Drosophila melanogaster: one gene and its partners. The protein of the gene in region 3 purifies or fractionates together with the protein of the main gene of each other region. This does not show direct contact. Each region holds a gene or a part of one and is shown on either strand. Other genes may lie near its edges.

What was found. Proteins that work in one complex are often made in the same cells at the same time.
Region 1: the proteins of regucalcin (region 3) and CG8993 purify together in Drosophila melanogaster (affinity purification with mass spectrometry, with the first as the bait; one large-scale study listed by BioGRID). This does not show direct contact.
Region 2: the proteins of regucalcin (region 3) and flr purify together in Drosophila melanogaster (affinity purification with mass spectrometry, with the first as the bait; one large-scale study listed by BioGRID). This does not show direct contact.

Annotation. Positions count from the first base shown.
Region 1 is NT_037436.4:2,368,827-2,373,376, reverse strand, and holds CG8993 (uncharacterized protein), read right to left. Parts: upstream 1,179-4,550; 5' UTR 1,096-1,178; coding exon 914-1,095; intron 852-913; coding exon 605-851; 3' UTR 501-604; downstream 1-500. Other genes in the region: mRpL23 (mitochondrial ribosomal protein L23), read left to right, coding at 1-248, 310-468; CG1317 (uncharacterized protein), read left to right, coding at 1,715-3,271, 3,329-4,550.
Region 2 is NT_037436.4:13,409,287-13,416,953, forward strand, and holds flr (flare), read left to right. Parts: upstream 1-3,556; 5' UTR 3,557-3,655; coding exon 3,656-3,689; intron 3,690-3,719; exon of another isoform or gene 3,720-3,765; coding exon of another isoform or gene 3,766-3,787; intron 3,788-4,030; coding exon 4,031-4,152; intron 4,153-4,771; coding exon 4,772-4,862; intron 4,863-5,050; coding exon 5,051-5,314; intron 5,315-5,379; coding exon 5,380-6,434; intron 6,435-6,490; coding exon 6,491-6,641; intron 6,642-6,708; coding exon 6,709-6,818; 3' UTR 6,819-7,167; downstream 7,168-7,667. Other genes in the region: CG10222 (uncharacterized protein), read right to left, coding at 2,243-3,166. UniProt on the Drosophila melanogaster protein: Induces disassembly of actin filaments in conjunction with ADF/cofilin family proteins. Together with GMF, promotes Arp2/3-nucleated actin filament array disassembly. Essential for organismal and cell viability.
Region 3 is NC_004354.4:12,012,187-12,019,323, reverse strand, and holds regucalcin (regucalcin), read right to left. Parts: upstream 3,842-7,137; 5' UTR 3,806-3,841; coding exon 3,758-3,805; exon of another isoform or gene 3,700-3,757; intron 3,322-3,699; coding exon 2,603-3,321; intron 2,546-2,602; coding exon 2,353-2,545; 3' UTR 2,266-2,352; downstream 1-2,265. Other genes in the region: Lsm12a (LSM12 homolog a), read right to left, coding at 1-143; Chrac-16 (chromatin accessibility complex 16kD protein), read left to right, coding at 1,451-1,873.

The sequences.
Region 1 (4,550 bases), on a different chromosome or scaffold from region 3:
TTCGCGTTTTCCTTCCCAACTTCTGGATGAAGCTAATCCGACCCACGGAGGAACAGCCACCCAATGTGGTCACTTTTTCGGTGTCCATGGAAATGACCAAGTACGATGTGCGTAACTATCTGGAGAAGATCTACAAGCTGCCGGTGGTGGATGTGCGTACTCGGATTGCCATGGGCGAGACCAAGAAGGATCAGACCTACGGCTACATCACCAAAAAAGACGACGTGAAGCTGGCTTATGTAACATTGGTATGGCCCACTACAAGCCCCTGATTCAATGGATATTTCCAATGATATTTGTGTATTCCAGCCCAGGGAGGAGTCCTTTGTCTTCCCCGACTTCTTTTCCGAAAAGGCTGAGAAGCAGGCCAAGGAGGAAAAGTCGCTGGATGAATCGAAAGCCGGTTTCCGCAGATTTCTGGACAGGAACAAGAAGCGACCCGGCACGCCGGGCTGGTTTTCCATTTAGTTTTTAGTGTGTAATCGTAGTACTTTTCGTTTCAACGGGTAAATAAACATTTATTTCGAAAGTCCGAATTAACCTAAAGCTCAGCTTTATTTGCGAGGAGGTCAACCTCCACTTTTTTTTTGGGATTTCTCAATTATTACTTGGCCTGTTTGACGGCGGCGGCAACCCAGGCCCGGATTTTGTCCTCGTCCTGGAGTCCCACCATGCGCTGCACCTCCTTGCCGTTCTGCAGCACCACTAGCACGGGCACGGCGGCCACATCGTAGTCCAGAGCCAGTTCGCTGTGCTCATCTATGTCCACCTTGGCCAGCTTGATGGAACCGGCCTGTTCGCCCACAATACTCTCGATGCGCGGGGTTAGCAGCTTGCAGGGATTGCACCAGCTGGTGGATTACAATATAAACATTAATTTGCCATGTCCTCAAATTGAAAATATAAAAATTACGTTGCGAAGAAGTCCACAATCACGGGCTGCTGGCTGTTCTTTACTTTCTTGTCAAAGTCCTCGGCGCTCTGGACTTTGAAGATCTCCTGTCGCGGCGCAGAAACTGACAGCATGCGAATTTGCTGGCCGCTAGCCAGGCGACGCGTCGTCTGTCCCAGAATGTTAATAATCTGTCGCTGCATGGCTTATTTTCTACAATTTCTCAGTGCAAAAAGTTCAGCGATTGATTGCAAAATAATGACAAGAGAATCAGAACAACAACAATGAGTGTGGTGGGGTTGCCAGATGGATTGGTATTGCCTAATGATGTGTGCACACACTGTTTCATTAACTGTTACTTCCCGGTCATGATAATTTTGTTTTATATTATTTAAGTTAAAAACTTATATTTATTAACCATAACTATGTAATCTTTTTTAATTTTCAATTTATGATTAAAAAATGAATAACGATATTTCGTTCTCTCAATCTATCGAACTAGTTGGCATCTCCGTTGAGAAAATAATCAGCAATTTCATGGTGTGCACACATTGGCTCTCCTTTTTTTGAGAAGTAGTCTTGTTTTGTTTTGTCGTAATAATATCCCAACTTTTCGGTTAAAATTCAAGTGTTACAATCGCATTACGGTCCGTAATCATCGAAAGGTTAATTGGCGCACATAAAAGGCGGGTATAATCGTCTTAAAACCCCCGTACCCTCGGGTCAATTACGGAAATTGTCCAGCGAATTTCGCAAATGACCAGTGGAACTTTAGTAATTCAGTCAAACTGAAGACCCAGGATCCGGGAAAAAGTTATCAGTATGGACGACCTGTCGCAGGGCGACATTTGCCGCGTGTGCAGATGCGAGGCACAGCCGGATAGGCCTCTTTTCTACCCGTGCATCTGCACTGGATCGATCAAGTACATTCATCAGGACTGCCTGATGTTATGGATGCGCTACTCGCACAAGGAATACTGCGAGCTGTGCAGCTACAGCTTCAGCTTTCAGCCCATCTATGCTCCGGATATGCCGCGAGTCCTGCCGATAAAGGATGTCCTTGTGGGACTGATGTCCGCCGTTTTGGAGGGCGCTCGCTGCTGGCTTCATTACACCCTGGTCGGTTTGGCCTGGTTCGGAGTGGTGCCGCTGTCTGCCTACAGGACCTATCGGTACCTCTTCCGGGCGAGCTCCTTCGATATGATTCTCACGCTGCCCTTTGACATCTTCTCCGTTGAAAACCTGGCATCGGATGCCTTTCGGGGCTGTTTTGTGGTCACATGCACACTTTTGTCCTTCATAGGATTGGTCTGGCTGCGCGAGCAGATCCTGCATGGCGGCGGACCCGATTGGCTGGAGCGGGACGATGCCCCTCTACAGGCAGCGGCTGCTAATCCTGCGCCTGATCCCGCCGCCGAGGCAGCTCCACAGCCTCAGGACGACAACAACAATGCCGACGACAATGAAGCGCCGGCTCCAGCGGACAACGATGGGCAGGATGCCCAGGCCCAGGATGCCGCACCAGCGGCTGCAGCTCCCGTCGTGGACGCCGATGCCGATGAGCAGAATTGGAATCCCATGGAGTGGGATCGGGCTGCCGAGGAGCTTACCTGGGAACGCCTGCTCGGACTCGATGGCTCGCTAGTTTTTCTGGAGCACGTCTTCTGGATCATCTCACTGAACACCATGTTCATCTTCACCTTCGCCTTTTGTCCCTACTGCGTGGGCAACTTCATTCTGAGCTCCATGGATCTTTTGCAGCCCGAGAAACCACTGCTACACTTTCACGGCCTGATTACCACGCTATTTGGTTACTGCTGCATTGGATTGACCCTGGTGGTGCTGCACTTCTTCTCCAGAGTTTTCCGCCTGCGGAGAGTCTGCTGGTTCATTGGATTGTGCTATATTGTGGTCAAGGTGTCGCTGCTGTCGGTGTTGGAGATCGGAGTACTCCCGCTGATTTGCGGCTGGTGGCTGGACATTTGTTCGTTGCCCCTACTAGATGCCAGCCTCAAGGATCGTAAAGAGAGTTTTAAGGCTGCTCCGGGCACCTCACTTTTTGTCCACTGGATGTTTGGCATGGTATACGTTTACTACTTCGCTGCGTTTGTATCGTTGTTGCGCGAGGTGCTGCGACCGGGAGTGCTCTGGATATTCCGCAATGTCAACGATCCTGACTTCAGTCCCATCCAGGAAATGATCCATGTACCAATTGTGAGACACATCCGGCGGCTGGTCGCTTCGGCTATGATCTTTGGATTTGCAGTGCTCTTGATGCTCTGGCTGCCCATTAGAATTCTGCAGGTGGTTTGTCCGGACTTCTTGCCATATGCACTTAGTGGCGATTCAGCGGTTAACTTGCAATTGCTGCTCTTACAAGTAAGTTACCCGCAAACTTATTTGAATAACTTAAACAATCTAAACTCGCCATTCCAGATCGTTTTGCCGGGCTTCTTCGAGCAGACCCAAACACGCATCTGGCTAAAGGGCTTGCTGCGCATTTGGTGCACAGCGGTGGCCTGGTTGCTGGGCATACGAAGCTACCTGCTCCCAGCACCGGAGCCGGAACCGGAAATTCCCGCTGCTGGAGAAGAAGGCGTGGAGAATGCCGCTGGCGAAAATGAAAACCAGGAAGGTGAGGCAGCGGATGCGGCAGCCCAACCACCAGCACCACCTCCTCCACCGCCACCGCCAGTGGAACCGGCGCCGGCACCACGAAACCTTGCCGCCGCCCATCAGGCCATCATGCAACGGGATGCACCCGTGGGATTCCAGCCGTACGACAAGCCATCGCTGTTCGCTTTACGTTTGTGTGCCCTGTTGGCACTCATGTGTTTGTCCATCGTTTGTGCTGCCATGTTGACGCTCACGGTTCCAGTCTACATCGGTCGGCGGCTGATGTTGATCTGGTCCTCCCAGCCGGATGAGAAGGCAGCTGGAGCGGCAGCCGCAGAAGGAGCGGGCGAAGTGGTTGAAAATCTAGATCCAATCGATCCGGAAGGAGCCAGAAAGAACGAGCGACTACTGCGCTCGCATGAGCTGTACACCGCTGAGCTTGGTGGTTACCTGTGCTGGATTGTCTGCCGGGTAGTAGCTGCGGTGGTCACCCTGCTGCCACAAGGCCGCGCGGCTATTGTCGACAAGATAAAGCACTGGGTCCGAGTGGCATTGCAATATGCCCTGCCCGTTCTAACACTCCTGGGAATCTTCGTGCTGGTTCCGTTGCTGATTGGATTGCTGATCGAGTTGGCGGTGGTCATTCCCCTACGCGTTCCACTACGCAAGACACCAATCCACTTCCTATGGGAGGATTGGGCGCTGGGAGTGCTCTACTGCAAGATAGCCATCGCCTTGACGATGATGGGCCCAGATTGGCACTTGAAGCGTGCATTAGATCGAGCCTACATGGATGGATTGCGCGATTTCGACTTGAAGTTTGTGATGCGAGACTTGGCTGTGCCGGTCGTTACTACCATTGGTCTGGCCCTGGCCATACCCTATGTCATGGCACATATGATGTTTCCGATTTTCCTAGCGGACGCCTATGCTCAGCATGTCGTCGCACGGCTCGTGTATCCCGTAAGCTTCATTGTGGTGGGCAGCATATGCATCCTTTTGTTCCAGATCGATCAGCTGAAGAAGCTCTATCTGTCCATCA
Region 2 (7,667 bases), on a different chromosome or scaffold from region 3:
TGGAATTCTACTCGTATCTAGATGCCCACTTGACTTGGGCTGTTTTTTTAGGCATTTATACCGTGTAATAATAGGGAATGGGGGTGCACAGGGTATCGTTGGGGTATGATGGGTGTAGCGAGCGTATGAGGGGAGTGATAAGAACTGGCCAAGAACGTGGCCAATTGATATGAAAATCGCTATACCTCACGTTTTCGGACGATGTTTTTTTTTTTTGAAACATTCTTTTATTTATCTTTATTAAACGTTAAATGGGATAAATTGAAGTGATTAACTTAAACTCCTTAAATTAAGGGATTCTTGTTAATAGTTCCGTACTTCGTGTTTTCTAGGTCATCTCCTAGTCCTATGCCCTTAGAGCCGAAACTCCTTTATTTTTTTCCGGTTGCTTAGCTGGCACATTTTTCCCCGACTGCCGCTGCTGGTGTGCACCTGCTTTTCGGGAACAGGACGCGCGTCTTTTGACCGCAATCGTTGCCAGGACTGGCCTGGAAAGCAAAACCAAATAGCGCTCTTACAAGCCAGGTCGCTTAACTGTTTAGCCTGACGCGCTTACATCGCAGGGGATCGCACTTATGGCTTTTGAGGACGCGACGAATTATCCTGCAGAGCGTGTGCCAAAAAAACAAGAAACCGCAGCCCGCTGCTTTACACAAATCGCAAAGGCAAAACGAATCCGAGCCCCACTCACTTCGTCCTGGCACGAAACCACTTTCGTTTATTTTAATTTGGCTTGCGGTCAAGGGGATCGGTGCTTTGGGGGATTGGGAATGGGAATGGGGACTGGGGAATTGGCAGCCAGCCTGCTGCAATCTGACAAGAGCCTGCTGCATTTAATAACTGTTTTCGTTTTTGCCGCTGTTTTCTTATGCCCTACAAAGAGGAGCCACCAGCTTAAGCAGAGGGCTTTTAAATATCTTTATAATCAATGCTATACAGCAAATTTATCTTTCATGATTTGTTGTAAACGCTCATTCTTTGGTGAGAAATCCAATAAATTCTTAAAACTCTTTATTCTTTTTTAGCCCTTAAGAGTTTTAAATCCTAAAGCGTATCATTTAAACATGTATAAGGAAGATCCATAACTCCTTTTTAGATTTAAGAACAAGCGTAAATTAGCATAACTTGGCTGGTTTTTAATAAACAACTTTTTCGCTTCATTAAATAAAAGCTACCCGCAAAAGGGGATTCACGAATCGGCTTAAAATAAGATGACTCCTGGTGCTTTTTTATATCCCAACGCGTCTTCCCGTGTCTGCAAGACGGAGCCCCCGAGTGCTCACGACTTGGTCGTGGTATAGGAGTCAATGGCAATCCCGTTTTGTGGTGCACGTGCCACAATTTGCAGCTTGCCACGAGATGTTCACCGGTCGTTCCAGCTCTTATCTCGCAAAACAACGCGCCTCGGACTTAATTAATTTTTATTTATGTTAACGAGGACTTTGCTTTTAGTTAAATCAAAGTATAGGGTTCAGATGCAGATCCTTTTCGACTCAAGTTGAACTTTTGGTTTTTGTATGCTAAAAAGGACGCTTTTGTTTGATTGAAGCCTAACTAATTTACCGAGAAACGTGGGTCTTTTTGATGAGATCTACCAGACTTCGAAATTCATACCTGTTCTTATGTAATAAGTTATTATTTAGTATAAGTTTCTTTATTGATATTTTAGATCAGTTCAATTGTCAATTTTTATTCGCCTAGCAAAGGATATTCTTAAAATCATAATTTATATAAATACAATTTTCTCCATTTGACATATTTTCTGAAAAAGTCAACAAAGCCCAAAAACAAAACAAAACGAAATGATTTTTGTTGTATTTTTTTTTATTAAATTTAATTTAATAATTCTGAATTCAAACCCGTACAATTCTGTACATCTGTAAAATTTTACATACATCATACGTTTTAACGTTTGCAGCGACATCTAGTGGTGGTCTGGATTTTCCAAGTTCAAATGTAGAGTTCTCTTGGTGTTTTCCGATTAGGTGATCCTCAAGTGATTATCAACCATTCTTATTGCAATGTATTTAAACAACTTTAAAGGTTTATTTCCTCTTAAAAATATGTGGTTAGAAAAACAACTAAAAAAGTTTAAGAGTTCAAGCCGAGATAATATTTTAATAAATCCAAAAAATCACTGCTTTTCATTCCGTACCTTAATCCCTCACTCTCGACTTGTATAACTTATTTTCGAAATACAATGCACAATATCACAGGCTATTTTCGATTAGTTTCAGTTCTTTTATTCCATATAGGGTTGGACATCATGCTCCATGCGAGCGGCCTCAGTTTCTGCACCCACGGCGCAGGCTAGTAGTGAGTTGACCGTCTGCTCCTCACCTGCCTTGTAGACGTATCCATTAGCCTTGTCGATGTGATTGCGCAAGCGGAGCATGCTGTCCGTGCTGAAGACGTCCAGCAGTTGGAACGAAACGAGAGCGTAGTCCTCCACCATGGAGCAGATGGCTGCATTCAGTTTTCGATACTTGCGCATGGCGGGATCATCGTCCAGTTTGTCCAGCAGATACTTGAGGTCCAGGACGTCCGTATAATAGTCCACGTTAAAGTGTAACTTGGTCTCGTGCTTCTTTAGCAGATCGGCCTTGGAAAGCACATTAACGTGGGGTAGACTCATCCGCAACATGGTGTTCAATGCCATCAGCAAAGTGGCAATGAATTTGGCAGGCTCCGAGCAGTAATGGGAATCTATAAGGTTAACGGTGACCAGGCTATATCTTTCACGCTCCAAACGCTCGAAAATCCGGGCCATAGCGTTGTGATGGGTATATAGCTCAACTTGGCCGGGACAGTCGAACAGGAAGTAGTTGTAAGTGGCGCTTAGTTTGCGCAGTGCCGGCAACAGCCAATCCTCCAAATGGTCGGCCAGATACTCAGCGCAGTGCATTAGAGCTCCGTTTGGTCCCAGCTTCAGGTGCTCCATGCAATCCTCCACAGTGATTAGCTCCATCACACTTAGCACCGGTTCGTAGGACATGTTTTCGTTGGCTGGATCCAGATTCACAACGCCCACCTGACGGCCCAGTTCGCGATAGAACTTAAGGGCCTCACCGCAATAGGTGGTTTTCCCAGAACCAGGAGGTCCTATGATTAGCTGTCCATAACGTGGATTCTCCACGGTCGCCTGCGTCGGAAATCTTTGCATCATTCTTGCGGAAAATGAAAAATATAAACAATGGTAGAGGTGGGGAACCACAGAGACCGATTAATTTATTTGGCGCAATTTATCGATATTTAGATAGTTTTTGAAAAATATACATTTTATTAAATTAGATAAAAATACAATTTTGATTATATATTTCCTTTTCAAATATAGGAAATTGAAAACTCAATCCCAAAAAAAAAAACAATTTTTTAGTGTATAATTAAAAACGGTAGCAATTAGTAGTTACTGTTAGTATAAAACACAGAACAATATATTTTTAATTTCCTTCCAGTTCACTTCGCTGTTAAAAAGGGGTAAACGCAGCGCAAAGTCGATATAAAGCAAAGAAAAAACCATCGATGACGACGATGGTGAAAACATCGATCTTAGCCCACCACTAATCGTCGGCGAACTTGAGTTTGGTGTTTTCATTTATCCGCGGAATTTCGCACTAATTAGTAAAGGCTTCAGGAGCACCGAGAAATCACCAGAATGGCACAACCCCAACCACCGGCGTACGAAAACAGTGAGTTGGAATCCCACAGAGATAAACTGGAGTCATGAATCCGATCCCACTCCGAATGTGATACGTAGAGAGGGGGATGAGTCAACAGGCGAAAAACGGTAAAAGCAGAAAGCAATCGCCGGAAGCACCGTGATTATGCCCATAAATGGGCATAGATGCATATGAAAGACCTTTTTAAGCAGTAAGAGGAGGCGCGTGTGGAGCCGTTGGAGCGACCCCGTTCCCGTTCGCTCCCCAAAAACGAAGCCGCACCCTATTTTCCACCCACTCCAATTTGCCGGCGTTATCTGAGTAGCAGCAGTCACAGCCCATTTCTAATCGAAATAATCGCTTAATTGCAGAAAACATCTACGCAACTCTGCCGCGCACCCAACGCGGCCAACCCATCGTTTTGGGTGCCGATCCCAAGGGCAAGAACTTCCTGTACACCAATGGAAACTCTGTGATCATCCGGAACATCGAGGTAAGCTGATATATGCTGCAGCCTGCTGCTCCGTTCCTGCCATAAATCCATGGCATTTACGTCCAAATGGTGTTTTATTTTTGGACAGGCTGCAGTTTCTGTTGCCAGTTTGTGTGTGCTTTCTGGCTTTCGGGCAGCTGTTCTATATTTATTTATATATATATGTACAGTATATAAGGCGCAAAACACAGATTCCCATTCCACAGGCCAACCGGCAAAACACAGACTGGCACATAGATACATTTCTTGTTTGCCGCCCACGCATCATCATTATGATGTTTTCATCTGGTCAAAGTGATTCTTCACAGCAGCTATGTGTTTGCCTATCTTTCACCCATTGAATCGGTATAAATTCAAAATATTTCCATGTTTCTTTGTCTTTTGTCCCGATAATCCCGCCACTTCTATGGTATCTTTAATGATCAAGAAATAAAATCTTCCGCCAAAAGATATTCAGGTTCTGGAAAATGAAATGTTAATGAAGGAAACATACATAACAAATTCAAAACCAAACACCTATGTTCATAATTAGGATCCCATTTACCATTAATTTGTTTTAATTTGCTAAAAGTGTCTCTAAAATATGTATGTATGCTTTTCCCTTTCTTCCGCACCATAGAATCCAGCCATTGCCGATGTCTACACGGAGCACTCGTGTGCAGTGAACGTGGCCAAGTACTCGCCCAGCGGATTTTATATTGCATCTGGTGGTAAGTCTCGCCCAGCAATTTCACACTTGGAGCACCCGGCTTTCGGCAACAGAGCATAAAAATCGTGACCACTATGAGTCACGCCACGGTCATGATTAGCATTTCCTTATTTGGAGCGGTTTCTTTATCTTATCTGCGGTTTTGAAGCGAGCAATGTTATTTATTTGGCTTTCTCCTCTTCTCACCAGACGCCTCCGGCAAGATTCGCATTTGGGACACGGTCAACAAGGAGCACCTGCTTAAAAATGAGTTCCAGCCCATTGCAGGACCCATCAAGGATATTAGCTGGTCGCCAGACAATCAGCGCATCGTTGCCGTGGGTGAAGGACGCGAACGTTTCGGTCATGTCTTTATGTCTGAAACCGGCACGTCTGTGGGCGAGATCAGTGGCCAGTCCAAGTCTATTAACTCGGCGGACTTCCGGCCAGCCAGGCCATTCCGCATTGTTACGGGTGAGTTCACATAATAGTCCCAAAATGCAATAAACTTACTTACACACACACACTTGTTATTACAGGCAGCGAAGACAATACTATCGCCGTGTTCGAGGGACCCCCGTTCAAGTTCAAGATGACCAAGCAGGATCACTCTCGCTTCGTCCAGGCTGTGCGCTACTCGCCCGATGGCAAATTCTTCGCCTCCGCCGGCTTTGATGGCAAAGTCTTTCTGTACGATGGCACCAGCTCTGAACTGGTGGGCGAATTTGGATCTCCTGCCCACAAGGGCGGCGTTTACGCATTGGCCTGGAAACCAGACAGCACCCAACTGCTAACCTGCTCCGGCGACAAGACGTGCCGCCTTTGGACAGTGGAGTCGCGCGAGCTGGTTAGCGAGTTTGTGATGGGCACCACTGTGGACGACCAGCAGGTGTCCTGCTTGTGGCAAGGAGACAACCTAATCACCGTCTCGCTTTCGGGCGTGATCACCTACCTCAATGTGGCGGATCCCTCGAAACCGCTGCGTGTGGTGAAGGGCCACAATAAGCCCATCACCGTGCTGGGACTGAGCGATGACCGCAGCACCATATACACGGGTAGCCACGATGGCGTGGTGACCAACTGGAACTCGGGCAGCGGCACCAACGATCGCATCACGGGCACTGGACACGGAAACCAGATCAACGGCATTGCCGCCTGGGGTGACTTTGTCTATACCTGTGGCATCGACGACAGCCTACGCCAGTTCAGCGTGGAGGGCAACTCCTACACGGACTATGTGGTGAAGCTTAACTGCCAGCCACGTGGCTTGGCCATTTTGCGCAACGAGAACATCATTGCACTTGCTTGCATCAAAGAGTTGACTCTCGTGCAGGACCAGAAGAAGATCTTTTCGCTGCCCATTAAGTACGAGGCTAGCTCGATTGCCGTTAATGCGGACACTTCCGATGTTGCTGTCGGCGGGGATGACCAAAAGTTGCACATCTACACCCTGAAGGGCGGAGTATTGGAGCCCAAAGTGGAGCTGGATCACTTGGGAGCTGTCACGGATGTTTCTTATTCGCCGGACTTGAAGTATTTGGTGGCTTGCGATGCCCATCGCAAGGTGGTGCTCTACTCAGTGGAGGAGTACAAGGTATTAAGGAATCATAAATGTCTTAATTCCATTACTAATCGAGTGTATTTTAAAAGCCTGCACACAACAAGGAGTGGGGCTTCCACAGTGCTCGCGTAAATACGGTGGCCTGGTCGCCCAACTCGCTGCTGGTTGCTAGTGGATCATTGGACACTACTATCATTATCTGGTCCGTGGCCAATCCGGCCAAACATACTATCATCAAGAGTAAGTATTTCAAAAAGAGTAGTAAGCTTTAAGCGATATCTGACATATTGTTTTCTGCCCACTCCAGATGCCCATCCGCAGTCGCAAATCACTCGGTTGGTCTGGCTGGACAATAACACTGTGATCTCCACCGGACAGGACTGCAACACCAAGGTGTGGCACGTGGAAAACATTTAAATGCGCCGGCCGTGAAGCATATTTTTATACTTATCCAGGGAGAGCAGCCAGCAGCGCCCTGGCTTCATTTCATTTAAGTGCAACAGTTTACATTTAGATATTTATGTCTTTTTCCCCGCCCTCCCCGCACACCTCATGTCATGTCTTTAATTTTAAGCCAAAAGTGTTTGCTAATCATCATATCATGGATATTCAACTACTTTGCCCCACTATCATTTTCGTATGTGTTTTTCGAACAATTTTTATACTACTGGAACTACGAACTACGAAAGGAAACACAAAGATATGTAAAGTACGCCAGCGTACATAAATTATTGTATTATGAAATGAAATATACTAGTTTTTGCATAGCTCGCCGATTACTTTTCTCCATTTGGTTGCGATCGGGAAAATTAGCTAAACACGCACAATTTCTTTGGCTTCTTAAACATTTATTCCTTTGAAAATTGTGTTTTTTTTTTTTTTTGGTTTGGTAGGTCTTCACCCTGTCTTTTTGTGTGCAAGTGTGTGTGCGTGTTCAGGTGTATAATTACAATATTTATAAAAACTTGGCTTAGATTACTAGAATGTGTGGACGTGTGCTTGTGAGAGAGCGTGAAAGCGAAAGGATTGTGTTTGTAACTTGCAGTTTGAGAGCCTCGGAGGTTGCTAAAGTTTCAGAAAAAATAAACGTAAATTGTGCTAAACGTAAGTACATAAATTAAGATAGCTAGAAAGGCGCTCGAGTGCAGAAGACGAAAAACGAATTGCGCTAATTATCACAGCCGGGTCTAAGACGTTGGTTTCGGTGGGACTAAAAGTTGACATATTCATATGTTGGGCACCTCATGAGTGGGTGATGAAAATTGG
Region 3 (7,137 bases):
AGGATAAGCATCTTTGTGTTGTGATCGAAGGCCAGCACCTCGCCCTCCACCTCCTCGTTGAAACAGGTCGTACAGACGACTGTGGATCCGATGCTGAAGCAGTCGTTCACTGCATTCACTGCGCTCGCAGCGGCAGCGGCCATTTTTAATTGCTGGTTGAGATTGGCCAACTGGAAAAGTGCACCCACAAGCTATGTGGATAGGGGATTCGAATCTAGATCTAAATGTCGATACTGGTTTGTTGGCACGCCGTTGCTTGAACAACGTTTCACAAACAGCGATGGTGATGATGTTGATGATTTTGCGGCAGCAGCAGCTGTTTTGGATGCTTGAATTCCTGGAATTCTCGAAAGGATTTAACTAGCTCTCTCGCTCGCTCTCACTCTCGCCGTCTGTCTGTCTCGTTCTCTCGTGCCGTGCAGCTCACTCGCTTTCACTTGAACCGCTCTAATGGAAATGTCGCTTCCTGGCGATCTGGTCGAGATCCTGCTCCTGCTTCCACTGCCCCTGATCGTCGCGTGAATTGGCCAAAAACTCGCTGGTTACTCGCTCGACTAGCTATCGGCTATCTATTTTGGCGGCAATTGCGGTTCGGTAATTGAAAAGTTGGAAAAGTACGCGAAAAATTTATTGGTCAACACACGAAACAACAGCCAAAAGGGGGCAGCAGAAAACGCAGTGTTGCACATGCCGCGCAGCGATAGGTTCGATAGTCATCGATTACGGAAGTCTGGCAACGTTGCTGCAAACAAATCAAGTGCAATAATAATTTATTGATATTTATTTATATGTGAGTTCGAAAATGAAGACAGATTTTTAAGCTATAAGTGTGAAAATCCAAAGTTGATTGCATACTGAAAAGACAAAAGTAGATAATATTGACTTGTCTAAATGTTGTTGCAATTGAATGTTTCCTTATAAATCGTGCAGATCCTAATCGTTTTACCCCTAATCTCTTGATTAAGTTAAAGGTATTTGCTTAGAGCGGTTTTTCCACTAATAAATTGAAATATTTGGAAAACTTTTATTAAATACTTGTTGTGGCTACCGATAGCATATCGGCGCAACGTTATTTGGTTAAATTCCCGCTCCAGCTAGAGCTGAAAGTATAGGCAAATCCGAATGGGTTTCTCAATTTTTATATATTTAGCGCTATAACTTAATTCTGAGAAAGTAACACATATATTATTGTGCACATCCAATTCCTTGCAAAAATAGAAGTATGCCAGCATTGTTCGTTTTAAGGGAAGCCCTGCGGTTACTTATTTTAAGTCTTCATAAACCATAACCATCGATAGCAAATAAAAAAAAAGAATCGATAGTGTCTCAGAAAGGTACGAATTTCATGCCTCGATTGTAACATCGATAGTTTCACAGCTCCACTTGTGAGCCCAGCTCTAAAACCAAAAAAATTCCCAAGCCATAGTTTGCTTGGGAATTAAGTAAACAAATGGGCGAACCAAGGAGCCAACCACCCGTGGAGCGTCCACCGACCGCGGAAACCTTTCTGCCCCTCAGCCGCGTGCGAACGATCATGAAGAGCTCCATGGACACGGGCTTGATCACCAACGAGGTGCTCTTCCTGATGACCAAGTGCACGGAGCTATTCGTTCGCCATTTGGCGGGCGCGGCATACACGGAGGAATTCGGCCAGCGACCGGGCGAAGCGCTCAAGTACGAGCATCTCTCCCAGGTGGTCAATAAGAACAAGAATCTGGAGTTTCTGCTGCAGATCGTGCCGCAAAAGATCCGTGTACACCAGTTCCAGGAGATGCTGCGGCTAAATCGCTCCGCCGGCAGCGACGACGACGATGACGACGACGATGATGACGATGAAGAAGAGTCCGAATCGGAATCGGAGTCTGATGAATAGACGGTCATGCAGATGTTTATCTACACCGAAATTGAGTGGATGATCTCCATTCACCAAAACATCGACTGATTTTTTACGCCACCTTGCTATCTTTAATTTTAGACTAGACGATAAGTATAAAATTGTTTATAGAACCACTGATTAATAAAGAAGCATAAGAGCACTGCGTCCTCCAAATGACCATAAGATCCGCGGATGATTACCGTGTGTCTGCGGCTGATAAGATTGTTGTTTGAAATCAGAGTAAAGTAGAGCATAGTCAACCTCTTTGTGAGTTTACATGATGATCCTGGATATTCCCAGGAGAGAATGTGATCCTTAAGCTGACCTTGAACTAGAACTGCAAAAAAGGATAACCTAACTAGCATGCAAAACATTGATAGACGCGATTTAAAACGTTAAAGAGCATAACATATAATTGCACTTGGATTCGATTGGTACATTTTACTGCGGCTAAGGATAGATAGAGATTGCAGCTCCTAGACCTTCAGGTTGACGCCGGGATAGCCGGTGGCGTTCAGTCCGGTCACCTTGTAGGTGGTGCCAGCTGGAGCGGGCTGATCGAACTTGGCGGCAGTGGTCACGTACAGGATGTCCAAGTTGGGGCCACCGAAGGCGGCGGAGGTAATCTGTTTGGTTGGGAACTTGATCTCAAGCAGAATCTTGCCAGTGCTGCAATGAAGTACGACATTTAACACTCGATCACGAATGTTAGAGTGAACTACTCACTTGGGATTAACCTTGTAGATGGTGGCGCCATTGAAGGTGGCCACATACAGGTTGCCCTCGGTATCGATGGTCAGGCCATCGGGCAGCAGATGATCCTTGGGACTATTCTTGCGCAGATTGAATATAACCTTGGGATTGCTAGCCACGCCGGTCTCGAAATCATAGTCATACGACTTCACCTCGTAGTCGGTGGTATCGATGTAGTAGAACTTCTTGGCCTTCTCGTCCCATGCCAGTCCATTGGAGATGCCCACATCGCCCTTGATCACCGACACCTGGCCACCGGCCTCCCAGCGGTACAGCTCGCCGTGACGGAACTCGAACTCATCGCCAATGTAGCGCATGGTGCCGCCAAAGAAGCGACCACGGGGATCAACCTTGGCGTCGTTCAAACGATTCTTCTCCATCAGTGGCTGCACCTCGAACAGTGTGCGCACCACCTTGGCGCTGGGCGAGACGCCATCCCAGTTGACGATCACCACGCGTCGACCGCAGCCGACGGCGAATTCCTGCGGACGTCCCTCCACCGGCAGCACGAATCCGGCCAAGGTTTCGCCCTCGATCTTTGTCTTGTAGACCTTGTTCTGCGCATAGTCGTAGCGGAGCAGGCTGCCTGCCTCCAAATCCACGTAGTACAGGCTCTGCCTGGCCACATCCCAATGGGGACCCTCGCCCAGGCCGGCGTAGGAATCGGGCAATGGTTCCACCTTGTACGACATCTGTTGGCGAAATTGGGAACAACCGATTTGCGATTAGTGCATCTAATTGATTTTATATGGATTTATAGTGGATATAAAGTGGCATTTGGAATGCATTATAGCACTTCATGGTTATCATTATCATGGTTGCCATTTTAATTAGATTTTAAATTGAATTAAACAATTAAGAAGTACAGAGAATTCGAATTTAGATGTAGGATTAAATCAGAAAATTACGCACAAAAGCGAAAAACTAATAATTCAAACTGTCAACATTGCGATAAAATAGAATTATCAGGATAATTTATATGCGAGCAATGAGCAATTAAATTAATCATTTAATTTAATTTAAATATTCATTTAAATATGCGATTTTTTGTAGAGTTTCAAACACTTGACTTTCGTAACACTTTTTTTCTTCAATTTCTTTAGTTGGTCCTACTTATAGACGCAGTACCGTTAGGCCGAAAAGGCACACTGCAATCACGGGAATCAGTAACATCATCTTGCGCTCGTTGGCTCCGAATCCAAACTGAGCCCAAAGCCATCGCTCGGAGTTGCTTTTATTACCTCCAGACCAGGGGCTTGACATTACTGGCTGAGAATCGGCGGCATCGTCATCATCGCAAGCGGAACACAATGCGAGATTATTTATTTACTTCCATTTCCATGTTTTAAGTTCAATTTTTCCAAAGGCCGACGGTGGAGCACAATGGAGTTTTTTTTTTTCGATTGTAACATATGCCACTTTCCGGTTTTATATTTTTAATCAATTTAGTAAAAAGTATTTCCAATTTAAATACATACAATTAACATGTTTTTTTCTGTATGCAAAGCTACAATTTTTCGTTAGCTTTATCGAGCAATGGTTCCACTGTGCGTTGCAGCTGTGCTCTTGTGACGTCATGCCCTTCACTTACACTCACATACTCAACAAAAGCAAAAGCAACAACAACAACAACAACAGATGCTGCGATTAACTTTTAAGTTTGATTGCGCCTGGCATTTAGCGATTTTTAATTGACTTTTGTTGTCATTCGGCTGCTGTTATTGAATTGGTCAAGTGGAGACCTTAAAGAGATGCTCACTGGCAGGCACTTCTGTTATCGGACACATGTAGAGGGCACAGTGGGGCAAGAGCGTTCGAAAATGCCAAATTCACAAGTAGCTGCTCAGATGTGTGGAGCATGTGAAAATAATTGAGTACTTAATCCGTGCTGAAGTCTCTCATTTCGAAATTTTTTTAATACAAAAAAAAAAAAAAAATTTAAAAAAAAAGGGAAAAAGTTTTTGAATAGCACATTTAATAGAAGGAAAATATTCGAGCTATATTTTTTACCAAATTTAAATTTAATTTGTGCAAGCTCATAAATTTCTATTTAATTTTAATAATGCTTCCGTTTTTTCGAAAAAGTCTTCAGTATAAACTATGCCTTCTTTTTCGCATCACTTTAACACACTTGAAAAAAAAAAACGGGGAACGCTTGCAGGAGAGCACCTACCTTGGAGATAGCTTAAGCTTGAGCTGAGAGATGGGGAATCGAGAATAGAGAATCGAGAATCCTTGGACACGGCTCCGTTGAGTAGCGCGTTCAAACTGAATGCCACCCGATCCGGCCCAATTCTTATATACCCCAGCTGGCACGGGCGTGACACACAATCTCGCCAAAACCTCCTCCACCTCCACCTCCTCTACTCCGCCTCCACCTTCACCTCCTCCTCCTTCGCCCACTGATAAGCGGAGAATTGGAGGGCTGGATAGCCCGGCCTGATAACAGAGCAACAGAAGTCGCCAACGGGCAAATTAACCCGATGGCAAATTGCAAAAAAAAAAATATTCCAAAACAGATTGCGAAAGTGCAGCATTACAGTTTTGAAAAGCGTAATGAGAAGTTTTCGAGTTTAAGCAGCTCAAAGTTTGAACACTTTTTGAACAGAAAACAGAAACTGAAGCCTAAATGTTAGGAAATGATTTTCAGAATAATTAGGCTCCCTAAATTTATAAAAGTATCTTAGTAATAATGAAAAATGAAATTTTCAAACCAAATTTAACCTGTGTGTTTTTAAGTGCAACATTAAGATTAAACTAACTAATCAACTTCAATTTTCAGCTGGCTAAACTTAACTTTTCACCTGACTTTAACTAATCATAAAACTGAAACTTAAGCTGAGCAGATTTAGTAAAAGTTATGGGGTTAATTTCTACAATAATAAATGCACAGGAGTGGGCGAGTGGCGATAAATTTAAATTTAAATTTTAAACTTGAAACTTTCTCAATGTTTCTCATTTCTTGAGCGCATTTCTATGCTTCCGCTGGACGAGAGATAAGTTGCAGCTCGGCGGCGATAAATCGCATCTGAGCCACTGTGCCAAAGTGCCAAAGGATGGATCTCCAAGTACATGGTGCATGCGGTGGCATGGCGCGGCATCTAGTGGTCCATGGTATCAGCTGCCCAAGTGACCTCCACAGTGCCAAGTTATTTATGGCGCATCTCCCGCTGCCCTTTGCACCCAGACCATGGTATGGGTATGGTATGGTTTGGAATTGGGCATGGGCATGGGCATGGTACTGGGAACCATGACTGGACAGAATCCAAATTCAAGTCCGAATCTGAACGGTCCAAGAGATGGATTGCTTATCGGCAGACGGTTGGCATACAGGTTTGCCCCCTGACTGGTGTTTTTCTATTTTCAGCGGTACTTTATTTACCGAATTGTTATTTAATTAATTGCTGTAAGATTTATGGGCATTATTGATAAGGAAAGCGCGACCTTTTACCAACCAAATTCGCTAGGGTCGTGAGCAATAAATCTAAATAAATCGTAATCCAAATGCTAAGCACTTGAATGTTCATTTTGTTTGTAATTTTAAAACAGCTGTTGGAAGCTAATTATTACTTTTCGTTGTGTTGGACTGTTGCTAGAGGTATGATTTTAAATGGGAATATAGATTATTTAGCTTCTATTGATAATATGTATCTAAAGAAGTTATTTTAAATGGTTCTGTTCTTTATATTACAATCCCAAGCCAAAAAACGCCTTCAAACCGCACGAAAAACGCGCCGAACGCGTAAAGTCGCGTCCAAAACGCGTCTGAATAAAATATATTTTACCGTTTCGCTTTGGTTCATTTTTGCGCGATTTTTGTGCGATTTTGGGGCGTTTTGCTTTTGGATAAGTCTGAACTTAACTTTAAAGCATAAAAAATACGATATATGTTATAAATGTTATATATGTTATGTTATATGTTTGCTTATATTTATATACGTAAATAGATTTTTGGATTGAAAACATATTGTTGCCGAACTACCGTTACATTCAAAAAGATTGGCAACGCAATGTAAGAAGTAAACAGCGCTTGGTGAAACGGTTTTTTGTTGTTGTTTTCATCGATAATGTTATTGCCCCCTGTTCTATGTCAAGGTTATAATAATTGTGCAAATTAGACAGATTTGCAGCGTCTGTGCATCACCTTGCAACCTGTGGTTACTTACTGAAGATAAGCAATTAGCAAATCACAATTAACTACGGTTAAATTAAGCAAGATAATTACTAAACAAAACGGTAAAAGAAAAGATAAAAGATAGAACAACAAAAACGCTCTATGGGGTCAGCTGGTGCCTTAAAGGGCTGCCACCTTCTACACTCATTGGAGTTGCCAGCTGTCTGGCAACGCGCATACGCTGACACTCGATAACAAGGGGCACACATTTTAAATTAAAACGCGCGAAATTCGGCTTGGTATATTGAACGTAAGGCGGTCGAGTTTTTTCAAAATTTTAGTATATTCGATTATTTTGGCCTATCGACGGCAGTATGACCACTAGAAAACAGCA